Coturnix japonica: one gene and its partner. The protein of the gene in region 2 interacts with the protein of the main gene of each other region in a biochemical or structural test. Links are inferred from orthologs where the notes say so. Each region holds a gene or a part of one and is shown on either strand. Other genes may lie near its edges.

What was found. The genes of interacting proteins can lie anywhere in the genome.
Region 1: the proteins of FOS (region 2) and RUNX2 form a complex in vitro, tested with the Homo sapiens proteins (2 studies listed by BioGRID). The link is inferred for Coturnix japonica from reciprocal best matches to the Homo sapiens genes FOS and RUNX2.

What each region holds. Positions count from the first base shown.
Region 1 is NC_029518.1:99,729,612-99,733,126, forward strand, and holds part of RUNX2 (runt-related transcription factor 2), read left to right. Parts: exon of another isoform or gene 1-190; coding exon 191-347; exon of another isoform or gene 348-1,018; intron 1,019-1,269; exon of another isoform or gene 1,270-1,572; intron 1,573-1,883; exon of another isoform or gene 1,884-2,263; intron 2,264-3,041; exon of another isoform or gene 3,042-3,331; intron 3,332-3,515. UniProt on the Homo sapiens protein: Transcription factor involved in osteoblastic differentiation and skeletal morphogenesis. Essential for the maturation of osteoblasts and both intramembranous and endochondral ossification.
Region 2 is NC_029520.1:34,667,221-34,671,328, reverse strand, and holds FOS (proto-oncogene c-Fos), read right to left. Parts: upstream 2,805-4,108; 5' UTR 2,644-2,804; coding exon 2,503-2,643; intron 2,072-2,502; coding exon 1,823-2,071; intron 1,706-1,822; coding exon 1,598-1,705; intron 1,487-1,597; coding exon 881-1,486; 3' UTR 120-880; downstream 1-119. UniProt on the Homo sapiens protein: Nuclear phosphoprotein which forms a tight but non-covalently linked complex with the JUN/AP-1 transcription factor. In the heterodimer, FOS and JUN/AP-1 basic regions each seems to interact with symmetrical DNA half sites.

The DNA of each region.
Region 1 (3,515 bases), on a different chromosome or scaffold from region 2:
TTCCAGCAGGACTTATGATAAAATGTAAAACATTTGTGTCAGGAGATGGACTGAATTAATAGTAGGAGAAGCCAGAGCTGCTGTTCTCCCACCTTGGAATTGGAGCAGAGGCTCAGTGCTGTGAAGGTATGCACTGCAAGGAAGTGCAGAGCCTTGTCACAAGCTGTGCTTTCTTGTCCCCTTCTCACAGGTGGTGGCCTTAGGAGAAGTGCCTGATGGGACCGTGGTCACCGTGATGGCTGGGAATGACGAGAACTACTCTGCAGAGCTCCGAAACGCTTCGGCTGTGATGAAGAACCAGGTGGCCAGATTCAATGACCTGCGATTTGTGGGCAGGAGTGGCAGAGGTAGGTGGCTGCTTTGTGTGCATGCACAGCAGGCTGAAGGGAAGGCCTGAGCATCAGCCTCGTTTCACAAGGAAACGTGTGTTGATAAATTGTTGCCTGCCTTTCACACATGCCAGTTTTATTTGCAAACTTGCCAGCCCAGCGAGGTGTTCTCCCTTGCAAAGCTTTCCTGCCACGTCTTTGTTCATTTTTGGAACGCCGGTTTTGAGAAATGATTCACAGAATACCTTGGTTCCCCATTTTAATCACGCAGCAGAGGAGGAAGGAAACGAGGATATTCGTGATGGTTTTCTTATGGTCAGGCAGTGCATCTCAGGCCGCTGTAAGAAGAGATGAAGGATTCCTTTCAGCAGTAGCGCTTCTGTTGGAGCTGTTGCAGGAGAGCTAGAATTAAAGGAGCGTTGCACATCACATGTGTTTTAAGTTATGGTCTTTGAAAGCTCACAGCTATTGGTAGAAAGCCTTCTGGTGCTTCCCTGCCCTTTGTGTGTGACCTGCAGACAGAAACCTCGCTGTTCTTGTTAGTAACCTGCCTGACGTATATGAATTGATGGTAAGCTTTGGATGGAACGAAATTCAGTCTTTAAATGTCAGGGAGGGCAGCTTCCAATTTTTTTGGGAGATTTAGAGTGCTGTCATTGTCTTCCAGCTGTTCAGGAGGATCCTGTGACCTGGGAATCACAGAATCATAGAATTACTCAGGTTGGAAATGACCTCAAAGATCATCAAGTCCAACCGCAGCCTAGCCATAGTACCCTAACTCTAACAACCCTCTGCTAAATCATATCTCTGAGCACTGCATCCAAACGGCTCTTAAACACATCCAGGGACAGCCACTCAACCACCTCCCTGGGGAGCCTATTCCAGTACTTAACTACCCTTTCTGTAAAGAAGTGTTTCCTAACATCCAACCTAAACTTACCTTGACTCAGCTTGAGGCCATTTCCTCTCATCCTGTCACCAGTGAGAAGAGACCAGCTCCGCTCTCACTGTAAGCGTACTTAGAAAGCCTTTGTCACCATTGAGAGCACGAAAATAATGTAAGATTCTTGCAGCTGCCTTTAAAATTCAAGGTAGTGATTGAAATGACCACTTGAGGGAAGCTGGCACTTCAGTCTTAGTGCAGGAATGCTCAGAGGGATCTGTTGTATCAATCAGCCATCGATTCAGCCTCAGTGTTTATGCGTTGTGTACTTGCAGTAATTATTTCTGTTTTAAACTGGCCCTGCGTGGAGGGAAAGGAAGAAATAAAAGCTGAACTGTGTGTGTGGAGAATCAGTAATAAAGCTAATGTACGGTCACACACTTTAACGGCAGCTGTACATCTTAGGGCTATTTCTCCCCCCAAAATGCTCACCAAACGTAGGATGGAGGCTGCGATAGTTTCAGTCAGACTGCATGCTTTTACAATTACGGCTGTTTTGTGAAAGTGATTCCATCAGTGTGGCTCACAGCAGCTATTTTTTATATTAGTGACTTGGCCAACAGCTCTCTTTATCATTTTACATCTTGAAAATTATTGGTAATAAAGGATACCTTGAAAACAGAATAACTCCTGCAGAAGCGATGCAGTATAAATATGGCCTTCGCTGCCCTTTGGGATGCAGTGCTGCCTTCCTCTTCCATTTGTCTTGCTTCCTTTGGAAAAACCAGCCTGCTCTGTTACTGTGCTGCTGGGTGAGGTCTGAAGGTTCCCTGGCTCGGTCGCTAGCAGTGCTTTACCATAGGAGTTCAATGTGTGACTGCTCCAGCAGTACCAAAAGGATCCGAGATGTGCCGTTTCATTTGAAATGTATGATAAAAGCTTTTTTGTTAGCCCATAGGAAACCAACCAGAGGGCCTGGGACACTTCGGTAGGTGTAGATGTGGGCACATAGGAACACAAAACCTCTGAATTTGGGCACCGGTCGTTCAACCTGGAATAGAGTTTTTTCTCTGATCGGTCTGGGTAGAATCTATGGAAAAGCGATAGTGTACTTTTCAAGCCCTCAACATATTTATTTAAGAGACTTCAAAGCAAAACAAAGGGTGTGCACTGTTTTACTATATTGGCTTTCTGAGTTTTGGCTGGTTTCCCAAATAGCAATTTTTATATTTTAAAAAAAAAAAAAAAAAAGGAAAAAAAAAAGGAAGAAAAAAGACAGACTTAACTGCTTGCAGACTTTTCACGCATGGAAGATGAAGAAAGCTTCTTTTGATGAAGTGTAATTATGTCCAAACAGAGCTGACCCCCTCCCCCTATATTTCTTATGATCTTAACGGAAGAAAGTAGGGCTTTGCCTTTGAAGCAGCCGGGACTCGGTGGAGGATCTGAAATGCTGCATTCTGCTGCCAGAGGCGGGATGGAGAAATTGGTCCAGACTTGTCTCCCAGACTTAGAACAGAGAAGGGGGAGAGAGAGAGGAAAGGAGGAAGAGTTATCATTACTGATAGATTTTTATAACTCTCCTTAAAATAGCAGGAAAGAAAGCAGTAGTTGCAAACAGAAGTGAGAAAGCTACTTACAGAGGCACATAGCAGTAGGTGCGGGTCTTGAAGTAGAACAGGAAAAATAAAGTAAGAAAGAAATCATTTCTCGGTGGCAAGAAACTAATCCACACCTGTTCCTGCCTTCAGATTTACATCTTTCTAAACAGCTCGCTCTTTGATCTCTGTATCTCTCAGTTTGATTGTGAAGGTGAATCATCAGCTTACCGCTTTGCCTTCTCTCCCACATTTTTTCCATGCTTCCCATGGCTCAGTGCAGTAACTGGATTCATATCCATGGTTGTGCTGCTCGCCTGACAGGAGCCCTGACTTCACGTTTTTGTTCGCATAATTCCTCTTAAATATCTTTCTGGACTCATAAGAATAAGTAACCAGAGCTCTTTATAATCGCGCAGAAGTTGGTTGTCTGTGGTTTAGACGCAGGAGATCACTTTTACAAGGCTGAGCCGCAGTGCAAAAAGAGAATTCCATTCCTTTGTGAGCACAGAATCATAGCATCACAGAACAGCCTAGGTTGCAAGGGCCCACAGTGCTCATCCAGCTCCAACCCCCTGCTGTGTGCAGGGTCACCAACCAGCAGCCCAGGCTGCCCAGAGCCACATCCAGCCTGGCCTTGAATGCCTGCAGGGATGGGGCATCCACAGCCTCCTTGGGCAACCTGTTCTGGTCACCTTCATTTTG
Region 2 (4,108 bases):
CGCACCCTACGCTTACGGCAGTCAGATTTCGGTAAAGCCCAACCCCAAGTAGAGTTCAGGGAGCCCCACTGGGGTCAGAGGGAGTAGCGCAAAAGGTAAAGTGAGGACAGCACCAGCACTCAACTTAAATGCTTTTATTGACAATGTCTCTGAACAATAATAAGCAAACAATGCTTAAGTTTCATCCAAATTCACTTTCCACATGTCAAAAAAGACCTCAAGGTAGAAAAAAATAAAATAAAAATATAAATATCTGAGAATCCATCTTAATAAATAAATTAAAAACACAATAAAAACGTTTTCATGGAAAACTTATGTCAGAACATTCAGACCACCTCAACAACGCATGATCAGTAAAGTTACAATGAACATCGATGTAGAACTACAGTACATGGATATAGCTATTCATCTACCTACTAGAAAATAAAATAGAGTCTCTTTCCCCCCCCACATAAGATGGGTCGTTGCTAAGAACACGATATTGCCAGGAACACAGTAGTTATTGTTAATCAGCTGCACTAGATACAAGTCGGAGATACCCAGCACCAGGTTAATTCCAATCATTTAAAACCAAGGGATTAATTAGTTAATGCTAGTGATACTAAGGAGGGGGGGAGTCACCAACCCAGCCATGTGGGACATGCTACAGACTACCAGCTCTCACAGATGGGCCGTTGGGGACAAGACAAACTCCATGCGGTTTGCTACATCTCTGGAGGAGGTATGGGCCCAGGCACTCCATCAGGCCCCGGGCCTCAGATGGATGGGGTGGGGGTGGCGGCGGCAGTGCCCTCCCCAGGCCCGGGGGGCGTGGTGAGTCCGTGGGGGTGCGTGGGCAGGGGAGGGGGCCCGGCAGGTCAGTCAGTGCGGGGCGAGCCCCTCACAAGGCCAGCAGGGTCGGGGAGCTGAGGGAGTCAGACGACGGCTCGTTGCTGCTGCTGCCCTTCCGGTGTGCGGCAGCACAGCTGGGGAAGGCGTCCGCCTCGGGGTAGGTGAAGACGAAGGTGGAGGTGTAGGTGCTGGGGCACGGGGTGCAGGTCACCACGGGGGTGCAGAGGGGCTCCAGCTCCCCGCTGCTCCCGGCGCCCAGCGGCTCCCAGTCCGACGCGTAGAAGGAGGAGGCTCCGGGCAGGTCCATGTCAGGCACGGAGCGGGAGGCCTCCCGCGGCCCCGTGGAGAAAAGCAGCTCGTCGAAGGGCTCGGCCTTCAGCTCCAGCCCGCTGCCGCTGGGCTCCTTGGGCGGCACGGCCGGCGGCGCCTCGGTCATTAGCGGCAGGGCGAAGGTCTCCTCGGCCGCGGCGGGGCTGGGTGCGCCCAGGTCCAGCGCGGTGGCGGCCGCCAGCTCCTCGGAGAAGCGCAGCTCCTCGGGCATCTTGCAGGCGGGCCGGTGCGCCGCCAGGATGAACTCCAGCTTCTCCTTCTCCTTCAGCAGGTTGGCGATCTCCGCCTGCAGAGCGGACTTCTCCTCCTCCAGCTGGTCGGTCTCCTGCGGAAGCACAGATCGGGCCGTCAGCCGGAGCCAACCTCACCCGCCCGCCCCCACCCGCGGGGTCCCGTCCCCGCCCCGCAGCCCCCGGGATCCCGGGGCGGCACTCACCGCCTGCAGCGTGTCGGTCAGCTCCCGCCGCCGGTTGCGGCACTTGGCCGCTGCCATCTTGTTCCTCTCCCGGCGGATCCTCCTCTTTTCCTCCTCCTCCGGGGACAGCTGCGGACACAGAGGGCGGTCAGCGCGTCCGTCAGACCCCCCGCCTTTCCCCGCGCCCCGGCCCCTCTCCCGGCCCCCCATTTCCACCCCCCTCCTCTTCCCCTTAGCCCCGCTCACCTGCTCGACTTTGCCCCTTCGTCCGATGCTTTGCCCGCGGCCGCCCGGCGCCTTCAGCACGGCGGGGCGGGAATAGGCGGCGGGGGGAGCGGGCGGCGGCACGCCGTAGGGGTGCCCGCGGTTCTGGGAGGGGGCGACCGAGGAGATGAGGGTGGGCTGCACCAGCCACTGCAGGTCGGGACTGGTGGAGATGGCCGTCACGGTGGGTACAAAGTTGGCGCTGGACACGGCCAGGTCGGTGCAGAAATCCTGCGGGACATAAAGTGGGGGGGGGGTTCGGTGAGCGGGGGGCTGCGGCCGACACTCCCCTCCGAGCCGCTCCCCGCCGCCCCCGGGGCCGCGCCGCCAGCGCCGCTCCGCACGAGAGCGGCCCGATATAAATATCTCTGACGTCCGCGCTGACGCAGGCGCCGCTCCGGAGTCTCCTCAATGAACTCGCGTTTTATCAATGAAGCCGCTTTACACACCCGCCGCAACGCGCAGCCCGGACCCCGGCTCCCCCCGCCCGCCCCGCGGCGGCGTCGCGGCCGCTCCCCACTCTGTCCCCGGCCCGGTTGAAGCCACCCGCCCCCCTCGGGTCCCGCATCGCCCCGACCCGGCCCGAGGCGCGCCCCCCGCACCCATCTCCCCCCAGCACCCCCAGAGCCCAGCCCCGCGGCGGCCGCGCAACGGCCCCTCACCTGCGAGTTGACGGGGGAACCCATGCTGGAAAAGGAGTCCGCCGGGGACGGGTAGTAGGTGAGGCTGTCCCCGGCCGGGGAAGCGCTGCTGCAGCGGGAGGAGGGCGCCTCGTACTCCCCGGCGAAGCCCTGGTACATCATGTCGGCTGTTTGCGTGGCCGTGCGGGGGCCTTGCGGTGCTATAGCGGAGCGCCTCGCGGCAGAACGCAAAGAGGGGCCGGCTGCGTCCCTGTATCCGCTCCGCGCCGCGCGTCTCTGTCTCCGCTGCCGGAGCTGCCTCTGCCGCTGGAGTATCGCTCGGCGCCAACCCTTTATATCCTGCTCCGCGTGAATCGCACACGTCACGCGGGACGCACCACGCCCGCTCGCGGGGGGGGCCGCTCTGCCCGCGTCCGCCTCGCCCCGCTCTCCCGGCCCCGCCGCCCGCCCCGCTCCGCCTCCAAGTGCGGGGAACGACGGCACCGCGGGGCGGAGGAGGCGCGGCGGGGCGAGGGGAGCGCGGCGGGACGGGCGGGAGGAGCCGCTCCGGGATAACCCCCCCCTCGCGGAGTGGTACGGCCGGTCTCGGGAACCCACTGACGCAGATATCCTTATATGGGATACATCCTGTGCGAGGGGGCGTGACTGACGGGAAGCGCTCCAGGCTGCGGCCAAGTGCGGCGCGGGACGGGACGGGACGCGGTGGGACGGGGCCGCCCCGACCCCCCCTCGCGGCGCTCCCCCGCGGCCGGCAGCCCCCGCCCCGAGCGGCCCGGCGGGGCTTCGTGCTATGGGAGCCGGCCGCGGACACGCGTGGGGTGCGGAGGGGCGCGGCGCCCTTCGTCCCCTTTGCCCCGCGGCGGGAGGGTGCTCAGCGCGGCGGGGACGCGTCCCCCCGGCGGGGTCACGCACACGGAGGGCCGGGAAGGAGTGCGGGGCGGCCCGGGGCAGGGCAGCTCTCGGGGAAGCCCCCCGGGCGTCGGGACGGGGGCACGGGCGGGGGGCGCGGGGGGAGCGGCGAGGGCGAGGCCCGTCCTTTCCTCCAGTTTGGGTTTTGTTTTGATCCCCGTCGCGGCGAAGCCCGGAGACACCCACCCACGGCGGGGATGTCGGCAGCCCTGGCTCGGGGCAGGCAGAGCCGGCGGCCAGACCGCAGCCTCGCCTCGCACGGGAGCCAAGAGATCGCGGCTATAGATAGTAACAGGGAAGCTGCAGCGGCAGCGTGTTTACAGCAACAAACAGAGCCCGCAGCGCAGTCTCCAAGCAGGAGCGTCACCCGTGCAGGCTGGGATCCTGCTGGCAGCCTCTCCCGCTCTTTGAGCTCACAGTCTAAATGCGGCTCCTGATGCCGCTGCCGCTGTTGCCGCGCGAACAACCTCCGTTCTTAGAGATCTGGGCCACGGGGGCGGGAGAACTGGGCCAGCTGCTATTTCTGCGCTGCCCGTCAGCGCCGAGGGGACAGCCAAGGACTGCCGCAGCGCACGGCTCCGCCGTTCCCGGCCGAGGGGCCCATGGGCCGGCGCTGCTCTCACCGGCTCCGGGCCTGCCAGGGCTGCTCCCTCCATGGGACCGGCCCGGACCCCCCGCCCCTCGCTCTGGCCGCAGCTCGGAGAGCCGCCCTCGGCGC